2 linked regions of the Mus musculus genome follow. The protein of the gene in region 1 interacts with the protein of each later gene in a pairwise test. Links are inferred from orthologs where the notes say so. Each region holds a gene or a part of one and is shown in the gene's direction. Other genes may lie near its edges. The genes, in order: Setdb2 and Arl14ep.

Region 1 (3,825 bases):
GCAAATCTGGGGCCCATCTGTCAGGCAGCCCTGTGTCCTGAAGCTTCAGTATATTGTGAGCATTGCTGCACTTAGTGAGTAGCTCATAATTAATTTAGTGAAAGAGTCAGATCACTATGATTCCTGAGTATTTCTTGTTTGACAAAGACAGTACTGGCTTGTTTTGTGTGTCAACTTGAGATAAGGTAGAGTCAGCAGAGAGAAAGGAGCCTCAGTTGAGGAAATGCCCATGAGATCCAGTTGTAAGACATTTTCTCTATTAGACATCAATGGGAGAAGGCCCAGCCCACGGTGGGTGGTGCCATTTCTGGTCTGAAGTGCTGGCTTCTATAAGAAAGCAAGCTGAGCAAGCCAAGTGAAGCAAGTCAGCAAGCAGTTCCCCTCCGTGGCTTCTGCATCAGCTCCTATATCCAGGAACCTTGTGTGAGTTCCTTTCCTGACCTCCTCAGTAGTGAACAGCAGTGTGGAAGTATAAGCTAAAGAAACCCTTTCCTCCCCAGCTTGCTTTTTCTTCATGGTGACTCATTGCAGTAATAGAAACCCTAACTAGGACAAGCTTTTTCAAGCTTTTAGCATAGTGATATTTATCTTCTTTATAAAGTTCTTAAACTTCTTTCATTATGGATATGTTCTTGCAGTAGTTAATACTTAGTTGAATAAGAAATAAGTTTAGTACTTGCTTATATTACTTTTAGAGATCTTTTTGAAATATACTCAACTGTGTATTTGAAAATATACAGTTTTAGATTATTATTGCTTCTTAGTCTTTTAGTTAAGGTCAAGTGTAGAACTTGTTCTTATCACCTAATAGATCATAGCTGAACATTCACACATTTCACAAATAAGTAAAGACCGCAAGCAAAAAAAAAAACAAAAAACCCTGCAATTGTTTAAAATGCAGTCATTTATACAGGATTTTATATTTACAGTGAAGTGAAAGTCACTCATGTTCCTCCTTAATTCGTTGATTTAGTCTCTAGGCAGAGATGTTGGGAATAAAGTCAGTATGATATAATAAGGATGCTTGAAGGAACAATACCTGTATTTAAACCCAGAACAAATATATGTGAGCTGCTTAGTTACATCTATTGTTATATATGTAGACAATTTCAATGTTTTCTTTGATTGGCTTTGTTTTCTTAAAAGTTTATTAATTTGTGTGTGGTATACTGGGAATTGAATCCATTTCCCAGTTATTGTTCAGCATACTTCACTGAGCATAGCCTAAACTCCTGTTTTCTTAAATTGTATTGCCATAGTCTCTTTATTAATCAGTTCTAAGACTAAGTATCTACTCTCACTTTTTGTTTCAAGTATTTCCTTTCGGAATAATTCGATGAAAACATGTTGGCATTTCTAGTAATATTCCACTTGATACACAATCAAACACACCAGTGGATTTTGATCAATGCCTTTGGGCATCACTACCTCTGTTCTCAGGCTATGACAAACTTGTATATAATTCCAGAAAATTTTGATGCTACAAAAGCTATTTTTATTTTTTCTAATTTTTTTTCTTAAATTTTTAATTGTAACTATTTCTAAGGAACATATAATATGTGAATGCAAATATATATTGGATAATGCTCAGATTTGGGTATATCCTCTCTTTAAAACTGGGATTCAATAAGTTTTTTATTTTATTTTTCAAATATTTATAATTTCATTTTGGTGGAAACCTTTTTTAAAAAGTCCTCTTAGAGCTTTTAAAAACACAGTGTATAACCTGTAGCCACCCTGTTCTACTGGAGAATACCAGAACTCCTTTTTAACTGTAACTTGGTACCTGCTGACCAACCTCTCCTCATCCCTCCCACTGTCCCCTACCTGTGAATAACCACTGTTCTGTTCTTAGCTTCTATAAGACCAGCTGTCTCATAACCAGCATGAGTTTGAACATGCCCTCCTCAACTTTTTGTCTCTGACTCTCTTTACTTTACATATCCTCCTTCAGTTTTCCTCTTATGGCTAAAAAGTATCCATTGTACATATATACTTTATTTTCTTTAAAAGCAGTTTGTAAATATTTCTAAATCCTACCTCTAATATGGGTAAGTCCCTAATATGGAGCCTTTCATGTAAAAAGGAATGTTACTTAATTTCATTTCCCTAATACTATTTATTGATTTACATATAAGCTCGTAGTGTCTTTTGTTTTCCATTTGAAAATCTTCTAGAAAAGCTTTGAGTAAGATATTAGTTTACTGTATGCCAAAAATGATGGCCCTCAATTTGTGTAAATTCTGCATTAAAAAAAAATACAAGTAAAGTTAATATAAAAGACTTTAAATTTTATTTTGTCTATATTTGGGGTGGGGGGAGACAACACGCACGCGCACACACACATATACACAGATAGAGAACAAACATAAGTGCAGTTCTGTGGAAACCAGAGGCATCAGATTGCCAATGTCCCTGGAGCTGGAGTTGTGAACTGCCTAACATTAGCACTGGGAGTCAGACTCAGGTTCTCTGAATAGTAGTATGCACTCTTAACCACTGTAATATTGTTAGACATTTGGTTACTTCAGTGGCCATTGAGATATTTTATTCTGAAATGATCTACTTCTACATATAATAGAGGTTGTATCCTGGAAATGCTAAAGATGCATGTTATCTATTACGCATGCCCTACTATGATTCTGACCTGGGATAATTCTTCCTTTATTCCAGTTAAGAAATAAGTGTCATTCAAATTTTTTACTTTTATTTTTTTTTAACATAGGTTGTCTTGTAACATATGCTGGCCTTGAACTCACGGTGTAGCCCCAGATGATCTTGAAATTTATCTTCCTATTATTCCCAAGTGCTGGAATTGTAGGATGTTCCACCACATGAAGTTTTATACAGAATTGAACATAATAAAATTTCAGGGCTTCATCAATGGGACACAAGTACTCCTCTATCAACTGAGCTACACCCCCAGCACCAGTTTCTGATAGATTCTTAAATTTAGCAGCAATGTGTGAGACACTTGGGTCTTTCTCTTGATTTTTGTAAGGAAATATGATCCAAATCTTTTTTTCCTCAATGAAAGTGTTAGACCAACTGAATCTTAATTTTTGTTTAGAAATGATAGTTTATTCCTGTAACTTATGCCTTAAGGAAATTGGTGCATTTTTATTAAACTCTTAGGTGATGCAAAGACTTTCTGGATGGAGCTACAAGATGATGGTAAAGTTGACTTAATGTTTGAGAAAACACAAAATGTCCTACATTCACTGAAACAGAAGATAAAGGATGGGTCTGCCACAAATGGAGGTATGAAAAATGAAGATTTCTGACACTTTCTACTAATGCTATATACTGGATATGCGGTATAATGCTACTGTTGTTTATTATAGACAATAAATAAATGCTTTTCTAAGGCCCTAATGTGAATTTTATCTGCTTTATGTATTATAAACTTGCTTTCCCCATATGTGATGGTTTGTATATGCTTGGCTCAGGGAGTGACACTATTAGGAGGTATGGCCTTGTTGGAAGAAATGTCACATGGGGGTAGGCTTTGAGACCTACCTCCTAGCTTCCTGAAAGACAGTCTGCTCCTGGCTTCCTTTGGTTGAAGATTTAGAACTCTTAGCAACTCCAGCGTCATGTCTGCCTAGATGCTTCTGTCTTTCCTGCTATGCTGCTAATGGACTGAACCTTTGAACCTGTAAGCCAGCCCCAATTAAATATTGACCTTTATAAGAGCTGCCTTGGTCATGGTGTCTTTTTAGAGCAATGGAAACCCTAACTAAGATAGAAGTTTGTACTGGGGTATTACTGTGATAGGCCTGGCCATGCTTTTGTTTGGAGGAATGTAGATTTTGGGACTTTGGA
Region 2 (3,825 bases), on another chromosome or scaffold:
GTATGTAAAGCAACTATACACGATTTGCTTTTTCGGTTGGTTGGTTCGTTTCAAATGCAGTGATTAGATGGACAGTTTAATTTTCTACAATTGACCCATCAAAAATTATAGTACTTTAAGGACTTGGATTTCTAAACATAAACTTCCTGAGTTCTAAGATGACCTTTCCCCCTCTTTTGAGACAGTTTCTAGCCCAGGCTGGCCTCCAGGGAGGGAGCTGAGGAAGACCTTGAGTTTCTTTTTTTTTTCTTTTTTTCTTTTTTTTTTTTTTTTTTTTTTTTGATTTTTCGAGACAGGGTATCTCTTTATAGCCCTGGCTGTCCTGGCTGTCCTGGAACTCACTCTGTAGACCAGCCTGGCCTCGAACTCAGAAATCCGCCTGCCTCTGCCTCCCGAGTGCTGGGATTAAAGGCGTGCGCCACGCCCCCACGCCCGGCCCGACCTTGAGTTTCTAATCAGCCAGCCTCCCAGATGCTGAGACAGTAGGAGTATTCCATCATTTGTTTCTACGGTGCTGGGACTTGAACCCAGGACTTTGTGTCTGATACAGGGAGTTCAGGGCAGAGTAGTCTCAGTTTCCTGCTGCAGGCCACGTGCACGCTGAATTGTGAATTTTCTTTCTCCTGTACTGAGGATCATTTCCACCTTGTTTTCTCCTTCACTACCCTATTAGATTCTTTCCTTGGGTTCCAAGTTTTGGGGTCCCTATAAGAAATGGCAACCAGCACCTCCATCTCTTTTTTTCTTTCTTCTTTCTCTCTTTGATCCAGATTGCCCACCGAGTTGAGTCTTATATAATACATAGCAGGGGCCATGCAGCTGCCTTCAGGGCCATGCAGCTGCAGTCATGCATTTCTGGCAGTCTCAGCCTACATACACTGGAGTCTCAAGGACTACAGTGTATCCTCTGCTTGTTAACGGATTTTGCAGGCCCTCATAGTACTCACACAGCAGGCCCCACAGTTCCTTGCACAAACTTTCCCTGTTTACCAGAGGTTAAACAAACATCTGTTTACCACAACTAGGCCACCAGCCACAAAGCTAAATAACGATCCCACCAGTGTAACCACTGGTGAGCTAGGGAGTTTGTTTGGCTTATGGTATTGAACTTTGGGATTATTTACAGGAATATGGGTAATGCCCTCATGAATGGCAGCCTCCTAGAGGTTACATCCTTGAGTCCTTCCTGCAGTTATCCTGCCAGTTCACTTCCTGTGAAGTGATTACAGTTCCTTTGCCATTCTAATCTCAATGTATCAGTTAGTTGCTATGGTTACCAGGCCAAGATGACAGTGGGATGATTCCCTATGTCTGGAGGTAGAAGATGGTTGTGGTATGGCAACCTCATAAAGGTTTGCTTAGGCTTTTTATGTGTGATTGTTCATCTGTGTTGTGTTTGTTGATCCAGAAGAAATTTTTCTTTTTTCATGTTAGCCAGTAATCCTTTTCACTTTGGTGTGTAATGCCATCTATTTACCACAGTAACACAGGACCTCGTCATACACCAAACCCCAGTCTGTTTGTCTGCACTACAGCAGTACCATAGTGTCTTTACTTAGCTTTCTAGTAAATCAGCCCTTCTTTACTCTCACCATTTTTGGACTTGTACTCTATCTGCAGTCAGCTTCCACACTCAAGCAGGATGGCAGAGGGGGCTTTCCATTTGTGTTTTGAGTGAAATAGTACTGAATTTGTAGAATTCCATAAAGGTCTTTTGTATTTTTTTAACATTTGTATATTATGTAAAGCATACAGTGTGTTAGTTTCCAGCATCGTTGTTAAATCCCCTACATATTCTAAGCAGTTTTTCTGTTGAATCTCTAATATTTCTCATGTGAATACTTCTTGTTTATTCTACTTCGCTCCCATGTAATGTGATCTTAATGTTGTAGTTGTGATCTCAAGGATTCTGGTGTAGATCTGAGCTGACAAGACTTTTTCTCCCATTTCATGATTAAATACATTCATTCTTTTGGTATTTCCTACTACTCCATGTTTGCTGTATTTTGCTTTTGTTTTCTAAAGAAGCTGCATTTTACTAACTTTTTACAGTTTTCCAAATCAGAATTTTCAGTACAAATCTGTCTTTTAATCTTTTCTTTAGGTTGACCTATCAAAGAGATTTCTAGACAAAATAAAAGAGGGGGAAATTGATAGAATCAAGGACGATGGATCCGTGTTCAGTTGGAGTCCAGCTTCGTACCACACACGACTGCCATAAAACCTTCTATACTCGGCACACAGGTTTCAAGACATTGAAAGAATTGTCATCAAATGACATGCTTTTACTTCAGCTTAGAACTGGAATGACACTTTCTGGGAATAATACAATTTGTCTCCATCACGTAAAAATTTATATTGACAGATTTGAAGATTTGCAGAAGTCGTGTTGTGACCCATTTAACATACACAAGAAGCTAGCCAAAAAGAACCTGCACGTCATTGACTTAGATGATGCCACTTTTCTGAGCGCCAAGTTTGGAAGACAGCTTGTACCTGGTTGGAAGCTTTGCCCCAAATGTACCCAGATCATCAATGGAAGTGTGGACGTTGATTCAGATGACCGCCAGAGACGGAAACCCGACTCAGATGTATGTATAGAGGCCATTGTGCTTTCTACAGTGTGGGACTTTAGATATATGGAATAAATATAAGAAATCATATTTATCATATTCCTGTCACGTTCATTAGCATATACCATTTAATGTTGAGGTGAAATAGTGATGTTTTAAAATGTTTCCATACACTCAAGGTCCAGAATGAGCAGTAAACAAGGGCTTAGAACAAAAGAACATCATGTGTCCAAGATTTCAATGCTGCCTTGAAATCTGTTCTTAAACCTTGGGAAGGAGAGTTTAGGAATGGTCTTTAGAACACTGGCAAAGACCAACTTAGGGAACTTAGATCCTTTTCTGTTACTGAAGTAACTAGGTGAATATTGGCCTACTGGAGACTACACACCAGGGAGGATGTGTGTCTTTGTCTAGGACTAAAGCACAGCTTTAAGGAAAAGAATCATAGAAGTGGGTAATTGTTGATTTTGGTTTTGGTTTTGAGGTGGGGGCCTACTCCGAGGCAGACTGGCCGGGAACTCAGCATGTAGTCAAGACAAGCCTGGCTCTCTTGACAGTGGTCCTCTGTCAGCCTCCCTGGACTGGGGCCAGGTCCGAGGCATGGTGCCCAGTAGTCAGGCAATGTAATTTCAGGTTTTCTCCTTTGAAGATGTCTGGTTTGAGACCCTGGGGTTATTTTACATAACCAGAGTAAACCTGGCCTCCAGGGCGGACTTACTGGGAAGCTGCTCTCAGGTGGGCGAGTCCCCTGGCCCCAAGGACCGAGGCCAGCGAAGTCACCATGGGGAAACGGCAGGGGGAGGAGGGTGCACACCAAATATTTGAGACTTTTAATGTTTCTGTCTCTAAGTTCTGAATATAGTTAAGGTTAAATGTAGGGCTCCCTGTGCTCAAAGAGCACATAGTTTTTACAAGTGTGAACTATTTCATGCCTTTTCCTGGGTCTCAGGCCTGTACACAGTCATTTCTATCAGGAAAGCTGAGGTCTGTGAAGATTGCGTTACCCACAAGGAGCACTTCTTCGAGTTTCTCTCTTTAAGCATTCTATCTTTCTTGCTGCTGGCGTAGTTTCTCAGTTTTCTGCTTTTTGTTGCATTACTAAACCAAATTAAAATGTTAAGTTGTGTGTATTGTGTTCCTCTCAGGCATATCTCCAGGACCCAGCATTATGTGAAGTTCGTCATAGATACTCGATGATTCTAGACTTGGATGTCTTCACCTCATCTCTCCATTGTTCTTACATGACTGACTT

Evidence for each region.
Region 2: the proteins of Setdb2 (region 1) and Arl14ep interact in binary tests that used the Homo sapiens proteins (3 or more experiments, as listed by UniProt). The two-hybrid records come from large-scale screens. The link is inferred for Mus musculus from reciprocal best matches to the Homo sapiens genes SETDB2 and ARL14EP.

Annotation. Positions count from the first base shown.
Region 1 is NC_000080.6:59,430,579-59,434,403, reverse strand, and holds part of Setdb2 (histone-lysine N-methyltransferase SETDB2), read left to right. Parts: intron 1-3,135; coding exon 3,136-3,261; intron 3,262-3,825. Other genes in the region: Gm45935 (Setdb2-Phf11c protein), read left to right, coding at 3,136-3,261. UniProt on the Homo sapiens protein: Histone methyltransferase involved in left-right axis specification in early development and mitosis. Specifically trimethylates 'Lys-9' of histone H3 (H3K9me3).
Region 2 is NC_000068.7:106,967,838-106,971,662, reverse strand, and holds part of Arl14ep (ARL14 effector protein), read left to right. Parts: intron 1-1,271; exon of another isoform or gene 1,272-1,352; intron 1,353-2,104; 5' UTR 2,105-2,168; coding exon 2,169-2,591; intron 2,592-3,825.